2 linked regions of the Mus musculus genome follow. The protein of the gene in region 2 interacts with the protein of the main gene of each other region in a pairwise test. Links are inferred from orthologs where the notes say so. Each region holds a gene or a part of one and is shown on either strand. Other genes may lie near its edges. The genes, in order: Smad3 and Cpsf7.

What was found.
Region 1: the proteins of Cpsf7 (region 2) and Smad3 interact in binary tests that used the Homo sapiens proteins (3 or more experiments, as listed by UniProt). The two-hybrid records come from large-scale screens. The link is inferred for Mus musculus from reciprocal best matches to the Homo sapiens genes CPSF7 and SMAD3.

The regions. Positions count from the first base shown.
Region 1 is NC_000075.6:63,667,483-63,671,296, forward strand, and holds part of Smad3 (mothers against decapentaplegic homolog 3), read right to left. Parts: intron 441-3,814; coding exon 247-440; intron 125-246; coding exon 1-124. UniProt on the Homo sapiens protein: Receptor-regulated SMAD (R-SMAD) that is an intracellular signal transducer and transcriptional modulator activated by TGF-beta (transforming growth factor) and activin type 1 receptor kinases.
Region 2 is NC_000085.6:10,523,848-10,527,761, reverse strand, and holds the start of Cpsf7 (cleavage and polyadenylation specificity factor subunit 7), read right to left. Parts: upstream 2,519-3,914; 5' UTR 2,435-2,518; intron 2,269-2,434; exon of another isoform or gene 2,162-2,268; intron 1,811-2,161; 5' UTR 1,756-1,810; coding exon 1,702-1,755; intron 1-1,701. Other genes in the region: Sdhaf2 (succinate dehydrogenase assembly factor 2, mitochondrial precursor), read left to right, coding at 2,668-2,703.

The sequences.
Region 1 (3,814 bases), on a different chromosome or scaffold from region 2:
TTGCTCTGGGGCTCAATGCCAGCAGGGAAGTTAGTGTTCTCGGGAATGGAATGGCTGTAGTCATCCAGTGGGGGGAACTCGGCCGGGATCTCGGTGTGGCGTGGCACCAACACTGGAGGTAGAACTGTCCCCAAGAGAGACACAACAGAGGTGGATCAGTGCCAGCGCACTGAGGTCCCAGCCCCAAGGGCTTCTGAGACCCTCCTGAGTAGGTAGGAGGGGGAGGGCAGGGACACACTCACACACCTGGCGTCTCTACTCTCTGATAGTGGTAAGGATTTACACACACTTCATCCTTCTTCATGTTGAAGGCAAACTCACAGAGCTCCATGGCCCGTAATTCATGGTGGCTGTGCAGGTCGGGCCATCGCCACAGGCGGCAGTAGATAACGTGAGGGAGCCCCTTCCGATGGGACACCTGCAGCCGACCATCCAGTGACCTGCCATGGCAAAGAAGGAACAGAAAGTGTCAGTTAAGTAGATTTGGACTGCCGTCTCCTAAGTCCAGCTCCCAGCAGCTCCTGGGGAGTTCAAGGCTGCTGGCAGGCCCATTTGCGTTCATTTCTCCCCTAGACACAGGGGACCAGGAGGTCTGAGCACCACTGTTAACTGTTCTTGCTGAACAGGGTCCCAGCTCCCAAAAGAAACAAGGAGGCCCACTAAGGAAGGCTGAGGTCCCCTAGGCTGGAAGAGAGGCTCTTGTACCCAATAGGCTCCAGGGTTCTCAGAGTAGCAGCTCTCAAGGAAGGGGACCTTCTTGAACTAAGCCTAAGTAGATATACATGCCACCAGTCTGGCCCCGTAGAGGAGACTGCTGAACAGGGTGGAAGCCAAGTATAAGACTACAAAAGGAAGCTGAATGGCCTGGAGAGCTGACCTGGCAGGGAGTCCTACTTTTCTCTGAAAGCAAAAAATGGCCTCTTAGATGTTGAATGGACTGTGTACGTGTACACATGTGAGCACAACAGGCCCTACAATAAGTCTGGCTGTGTGGGGTCCACAGGTTGGGAGGCGGTGGGGTGGCGAGTATAGATTAGGAGAAGCAAGACTGTCCTTTCTACAAGAAAGCTGTTCTAGGAGCCCAGGGTTGAGGGCATGATGTTTTTTAGTAGCTGGGCCAGACTAGCAGAGGGCCACTGAAAGCTGTCCCTCTGTCCCTATGGCACGTATGGGTCTGAATTCAACAGATTTTATGAGTACTTTATAATAGAGGGGCTGGCCAGATGTGTCAACCAGAGCCAACCAGGGTCCAAATAATCTCCAAGCTACTGGCTTGGAATAGGGAGGGACAAAGGTCAGTGCTAGGCCTGGTCACAGGGACTGAGAGCTGCTGACTAAGGACTTGTGGAAGGATGTAATTACCTCCCTCCCATGAGGCCCAGACCAAGGAGCCCCTACAGCTGAAAACAGTAATTACAGAGCTGAACAAGAGAGGACAGCCTGAAACTAGCCCTTGAGGCACAGGAGGAAGGCAGCCAGATGTGAAATCCTAAGACCTGAAGATGCTCCTGACTATGCAAGCCTGGGCACTAGGACCCTCAACTGCCCCATGTGTAAGATGGGGACAGTCTCCCCTCACCTGATCTCTACTAGAAAGCACTTTGCAGAGCACCACCTGGGGAGAAATCCTCTCAGTGTTACCGGTGACTGCTGTTATTCTCTAAGCCAGCCCTAGGCAAGCGGGGGCTGAGTTGGGGTCAAAGAAGAGGCAACAAGAGAGTGGTTCGTAGTAGATGGAGACAAAATCCTTCAGCTCCCCTCACTTTCTTTACCGAAGTCCCCAAAGATAAGGGAGGTGGCCACACTGTCCCTCCAGGGTATGACATAAGCCTCAACACAAGGTTAGCTGGATGCTGTGGCCACCTCTCTGATGGGAAAGAGGGGGACAGGAGAGAAATGGCCAGAGAAGGGCCATGCCAGCCATGAGGAAGAGTGGAGCTGGAGAGTCCCTCCTGGGCACTGGGAGGGGTATCCTCTTGCTTTCAAAGTAACAACGGGTGCTAGGGAGACGATCCACTTAGCAAAGTACCTGCGTTGCGAGTGTAAGAACACAAGGAGTTCTGTCTCCAGAACCCATGTGAGAAGAGCTGGCTTGGGTAGTGCACAGAGGAGGCGGGACAGCCAGATCCCTGCCTAGCCTATATGGTGAGACCAAGGTCAATGAGACCCTGTCCCAAAGAATAAAAACAAAGTGGATGGCACCTGAGGAACAGCAGCCAAAGCTACCTTCTGGCAGCCACAGACATTCGAACATGTGCCTAGGTCCCTGCACACATCAGCATACCTGCACACACACAAACCCACACAAGTACACATATACATGCACAAAGACAAACAGTAGATGGAAAAAAAAAAAAGCAAGAGTGCTTCCATCATCAAAGTAGTGTGCCGACATCCTCAAAACTGACCATGACACCAATAAGACCCAACAAAGACCGTCACATATACATGGGACATTGACTTGTATCGAAAGTCCAAAGACACACCAGCAGGGACGGGTTAATCCTTTAGCAGGTGGTGCTGAGCCTCCTGAAGATCCACACTAAGAAAAATGAACTTCAACCTGCACCTTACACCTCTGTAGAAACTAAGGGTCAAAGAATAAATCTCAAACCATTGAGGAACTCTGTGACCAGACAGTGATTTCTCAGCTGCTCCACCAAAAACACTGTCCGTAAAAGTCAAAGTTGACATATCGATACAATGGGACTCAGGAGAGAGGCTTCTGATCGGTATAAAACTTGGACAAAAAGAGAGGTAACAAGTCAGAGGAGAACACCGGCAAAGAATATATCTCACAGAGGTCCTTTCTAGGATAAAGAATGCCAAAAGCAACCCAACATTCAAATAGCAGGTGATTCCCTTAATCAAATGCTAGTTTAAAAAGTTAAAGATGGCAAAGATGTTCTATGTCATTACTAAGAAGGAAAGCGTGGATTAAATCGAAGGGACAGGAGAGATGTCTCCACAGTTAAAAGCACGTGCTGTTCTTGCAGAGGAGCAAAGTTGGTTCCCAGCACCCACACAGAGGTTCACAAGCATCCGTAACTCTAGTCCCAGAGTCTCTGGTGCCTTTTTCTGACCTCCTCAGGCACTGGGCACACACATGGTACACAGACATAAATAAATGCAGGCAAAATACCCATATACATAAAGCAAAACGTAACTATATACAATGAGATGCCACCATATGACCATCAGAACAGCTGTAATTTAAAAGGACCGTGTGTGCCACGTGCTGGCAATGGTGTGGAGCAACCAGAACTCTTAAACATCACGCATGGAAAACAGTGATACAATGGCTCTGAGAGACAACTAGGGAGTTTCCTTAAAAGTCCAAAGCAAAAGCTTGCTGTAATAGTTTCTTTTTCAGTTGCTGTGATTAAATACTCTGACCAAAACTGTGATGGTCAGTCTCAACTGTCGATCTGATGAACCTAGAAGAACCTGGGAGATGGGTCTCTGTGATGTCTGCGGAGGATTATCCCAATCAGGTTCACTGAGATAAGGAGAGTAACCCACTCTGGGTAGCACCAGTCTCTGGGGTGAGATCCTGGACAAAGGAAGACATGAGCTAGGCAAGCCTTCATCTCAGTCTCCTTCCTGGCTGTGTATGCACTGTGACCAGCCACCTGGGGCTCCTGCTTCCTGACTTCCCACTGTGATGGACTTCACCCCACTCCTGGTACCAGCTTTCATCTTAGTTAGTTGCTGTAATAAAGTACTCTGAAAAAAAGAGACTTAAGGAAGAAATAGCTTATTTTGGCTTCCAGAGAACTACAACCCATCACTGCAGAAGACATATCAGGATCAG
Region 2 (3,914 bases):
GCTACCTTGGGACAAATCAGTAACTGTCTTCTAAGACATTCAAAAACCCAATTCATACAGGCTGACTTCCATCTAAGCCAACTTTTAACAACTCTACCCAGACTTTTTAAACAATTTAGCAACTTCCAGATTGCACTAAAACCAGCTTTGCCAAAAATGAACTTATGGGGATGAGGTCTCCTTTCTCAACTTTTAGAACGTAAAACATTCAAAGTTGATACTTGCTTCAGTTTTCCCCATATCAACATTGCCTGCTTGGTATAAATGTCCACATACTAATTTTGGCTTTAGATCAGAAAGTCCTTTTTTAAAAAAGTTAATTAATAAACAAATTACTGAGGGTAATAATGTGTACCTTGACAAAGCCGTGTCCACTGGACAAGAACTGTGTCTTGTCTATGACCCCTAAGTTATAAACCATTTATTCCTTTTTTGTTTTTAGATCAAATATGGCCCGTGGTCAACAACTGTCTATTCTCTGAAGTGAATTAGTTACAGTACTAGTCAATGACATAGATTCAGAATTGGGGCTATCTTTCAGTAATACAGAACTAAGAGAGTCTTGTTAAACAAAAAGCCATAAACTTCAAACGACAAAAGTATGACTCAAATAAACACATAAAACTCAGGAAAGCAAGACTGCAGAGAGGGCTCAGTAGCTAAGAACACTTTGTCCAGAGGACCTGAGTCTGGTTACTAGAATCTATATCAGGTGGTTCACAACCACCTGTAACACCAGCTCCATTGGACCCATACCACTAGGCTCTTTGGGCACCTACAAACCAGGCACACACACAAAATTTAAAATACAATAATGGGACATATGAGCCTCTTTTGTTGCCTGTCAAAGTCAGGCTACCACCTAGGCATTCTAGCCCATTCTTTCCAGGTCCTTCTGTGTACCCACTGGAACACACCAATGACAAGAACCAGCTAGCTCAACAATAACAGTACTAAAAAGAACCCAGGTAAGATAAAAATTTTAAATAGAAACTTTCTGTTGAGTTTTGACCTCAAGATTGAAGAACTCAACCTCACAGATTACTATCTTACGGGATACTTAAATGTTAAAACACACATTCAAACTAGGATGACTGAGTCCTTGACTTGCCTTTAAACTAGTTTATTCAATGGTTTTTACCTTTCTTCCTTCCATCCATACGAATGGATGCCCAGAGACTTCTCAAAAAGGACAGTCAAGCTATTTAAAAAGACTGAAACACTTGGAGTGGCACTGGAATTCCACCTTTAAAGCAGTTGGTATACTGTGGCTTTTAAAGTAATTTCATGGTACACCATTGGGAGGGGACCAAGCAGGGGGAGGGACCAACATGCTCGAGCCACAAGTTGAGAGAACAGCAAAGTAACAAGCATCGAAATTATCTCCGCAGTACTACAACAAATGTAATTTTCATTTTTAATTATGGTTAGTCATTCAACTTTGAAATGACTTGGGGAAAGAATTCCACAGGCTGATTCACCATACTATTACACTTGGGTTTTTATTTGCTCTTAAAGCAAGCCCTTTAAAATTGAAGCCTGGAGGTTCAAATTAACCTAAAGAGGAATGGTCAGTCGTCTTCAAAGCCACCGCTAGGGGGAAACGCTTCGATATTACAGGGAATTATTTTGAGCTGAGAGAGAAACCACTGCCAGTAGATTGATGGAAGAAACCCCAAAACTGCTGCTAATTCCTCTCACCTGATTGAACTCTTCATCAGCGTATATATCAATCAAATCCACTCCTTCTGACATGGCTCCGGAAATACGCTCTCGAGCCCGGAGAACCGACAAAGTAAGAAAGATGCCACTACGGTATTCAGAAAAGGGTAAAAAATTTTAAGGCACAAGGGTCCCAGGCTGGGAGGAGGGCAAGGGTCAACAAGCTCTAGTCTCCCAAGACGCAGCATCCCGGCGGCCGGGAGCCTGGCCCCACCCGCTCTGCCCCGCCCCCAGCCTCGCGCCGCCCCCAGCTCTCCCAGGCCGCTCGGGCTCGCGGAGCTCGCTGCCCATCACCCGCGGGCCCGACCCGAGGTGCTCCGAGTCGGCGCCCGTAGTTGCCTATGGCGCCACCGCCAAGTCCGGGCCTCGACTCCTGAGAGGGCCCTCAGGCCGCGCTGTGAACCACCGCGGCGAACGCCGCAAGCTCAGCCCGTCGCACCTGCTAGGCCCAGGGGGCGTCCCAAGCCGGAGCCCCCGCGGGCCCGGAAGCTCCCGCCGCCTCCACACCAACGGGGCCCTGTCCTCGCCCTAGGCTAGGCCTGCCCTGCTCCCTCCCACAGCTCCAGGACCTCAGCCCCTCCCTCAGAGGCCCGCGCTTCCCTCCACCCGCTGTCTTCCGCCGCCGCCACCCCAACCGACCCCCTCCCTTCCGCGGCGCCGGCCCCCGCCCTCCTTCCGGCCCCGCCGGCCCCGGGCCGCGCGCCCCCGTTACCGGGAATATGGCGGCGGCCGCGGAGAGTCCCGACTAGGCCCGAAGCGCGCGAACCGCTCTCCGCCCCAGGTCCCGCCCCCCCCCCACCGGCGGCGTCACACGCACCGCTACTTCCGCCATACGCTCGGTTGCGCCTTCCGGCTTGGGGTCCACCTCCGCTGAAGTCCTCAGATCGACCGCCCGGAATTCCCGGAAGTGGCCCGGTTGCCAGCTTACTGTGCTATAAGAGAGAGATGGCGGTGGTCACCTTGATCCCGACGCTGGCGCGGGTGAGAGAGCCGGGTTCGGGGCGGGCTGCAGCTAAGACTGTTTCGTCCTCCTCTGTGCCGTGGAGACTGTAGGGAGAGTTCACCTACCCCACAGACCAGGGAATGGTCCCCTCAAGGCGAGGCGCAGGCTGGAGCCGATCATGCAGGGAATTTTCCATTCTTTCCTGAGCCCACGGTGTGCTCGAGTGAGAATACTGGGTAATATGTGGTTAGGTGGCCAGTCACCGTGTGAGACTCAACGCATACCAGGAACAGTTACCGAACCTCCCCCGAAAGCCTCCTAGCTTTTCTTGAGCTTCTTCCCCCGTCTCCCTTTTAAAAGCCGGTTTTAATTTGTTACTCAGGCTGGCCTCAAATTCGTAATTCTCCTGTCTCATCTTGGTTTTAAATGTTTGAGAATTTTCCGTTTTTATTCCAGTAGTGTTGAAAGCTAGTTGGTATGGTTTATCTTAAACTTATCAAGACATGTTTTTTGACAACTTGTGATCTCCTGGGCATAATTATCTGTACATTTGAGAGGAATGTATGATCTCTTGTGTGGAATGCCTGTATATCTCAGTTAAATATTCTTAAATTAGTATTGTTCTGGTTGTCTAGTATTGATTCCGACATCTATATATTCTATTCCTTATTAAAATGTGGCATTAAAATCTGTTGTGTTCCCCCACCAGTTCTGTCAAGTGTCTCTTCCATATATTTGAGTGCTCTATTAGATCCACATATATTTATGATTATTATACTTTACTGCTAACTCCTTAATACTATGTAATATTCTTTATATCACATATGACAATTTTGTTGTTTGTGCTAAGCACCAAACCCAGAGCCTTGCCTGCTAGGCAATCGCATTTTCTTTTCTTATTCTTTTTTTTAGACTAAAAAAGTATGTACATGTGTTTATCTGCCTTTGTGAGTTTATGCATACTATGTGTGTAGGTGCCCATGAAGGCCAGAGGAGGGTGTTTTAAGTGTGTCGGTGTTTCTGCAATGCTGTAGTTTTGTTAACACTCTTTTAAGTTGTTCAGTGTTCCCTCCTCCTTCCTTGCTACCCTGTTTTTTAGGTACTAAAACTCCTCAGCTTCATAGTAGTTCTGATCTAGCCTCTCAAGTGCGTGGATTACAGTCATGAGGCACCATGACCAGCTGGTTGCTCTGCTCTCTTATTCTCAGTGGCTACTGGACTTCTTAGAGTATGCTGGTTAGTGTTGCAA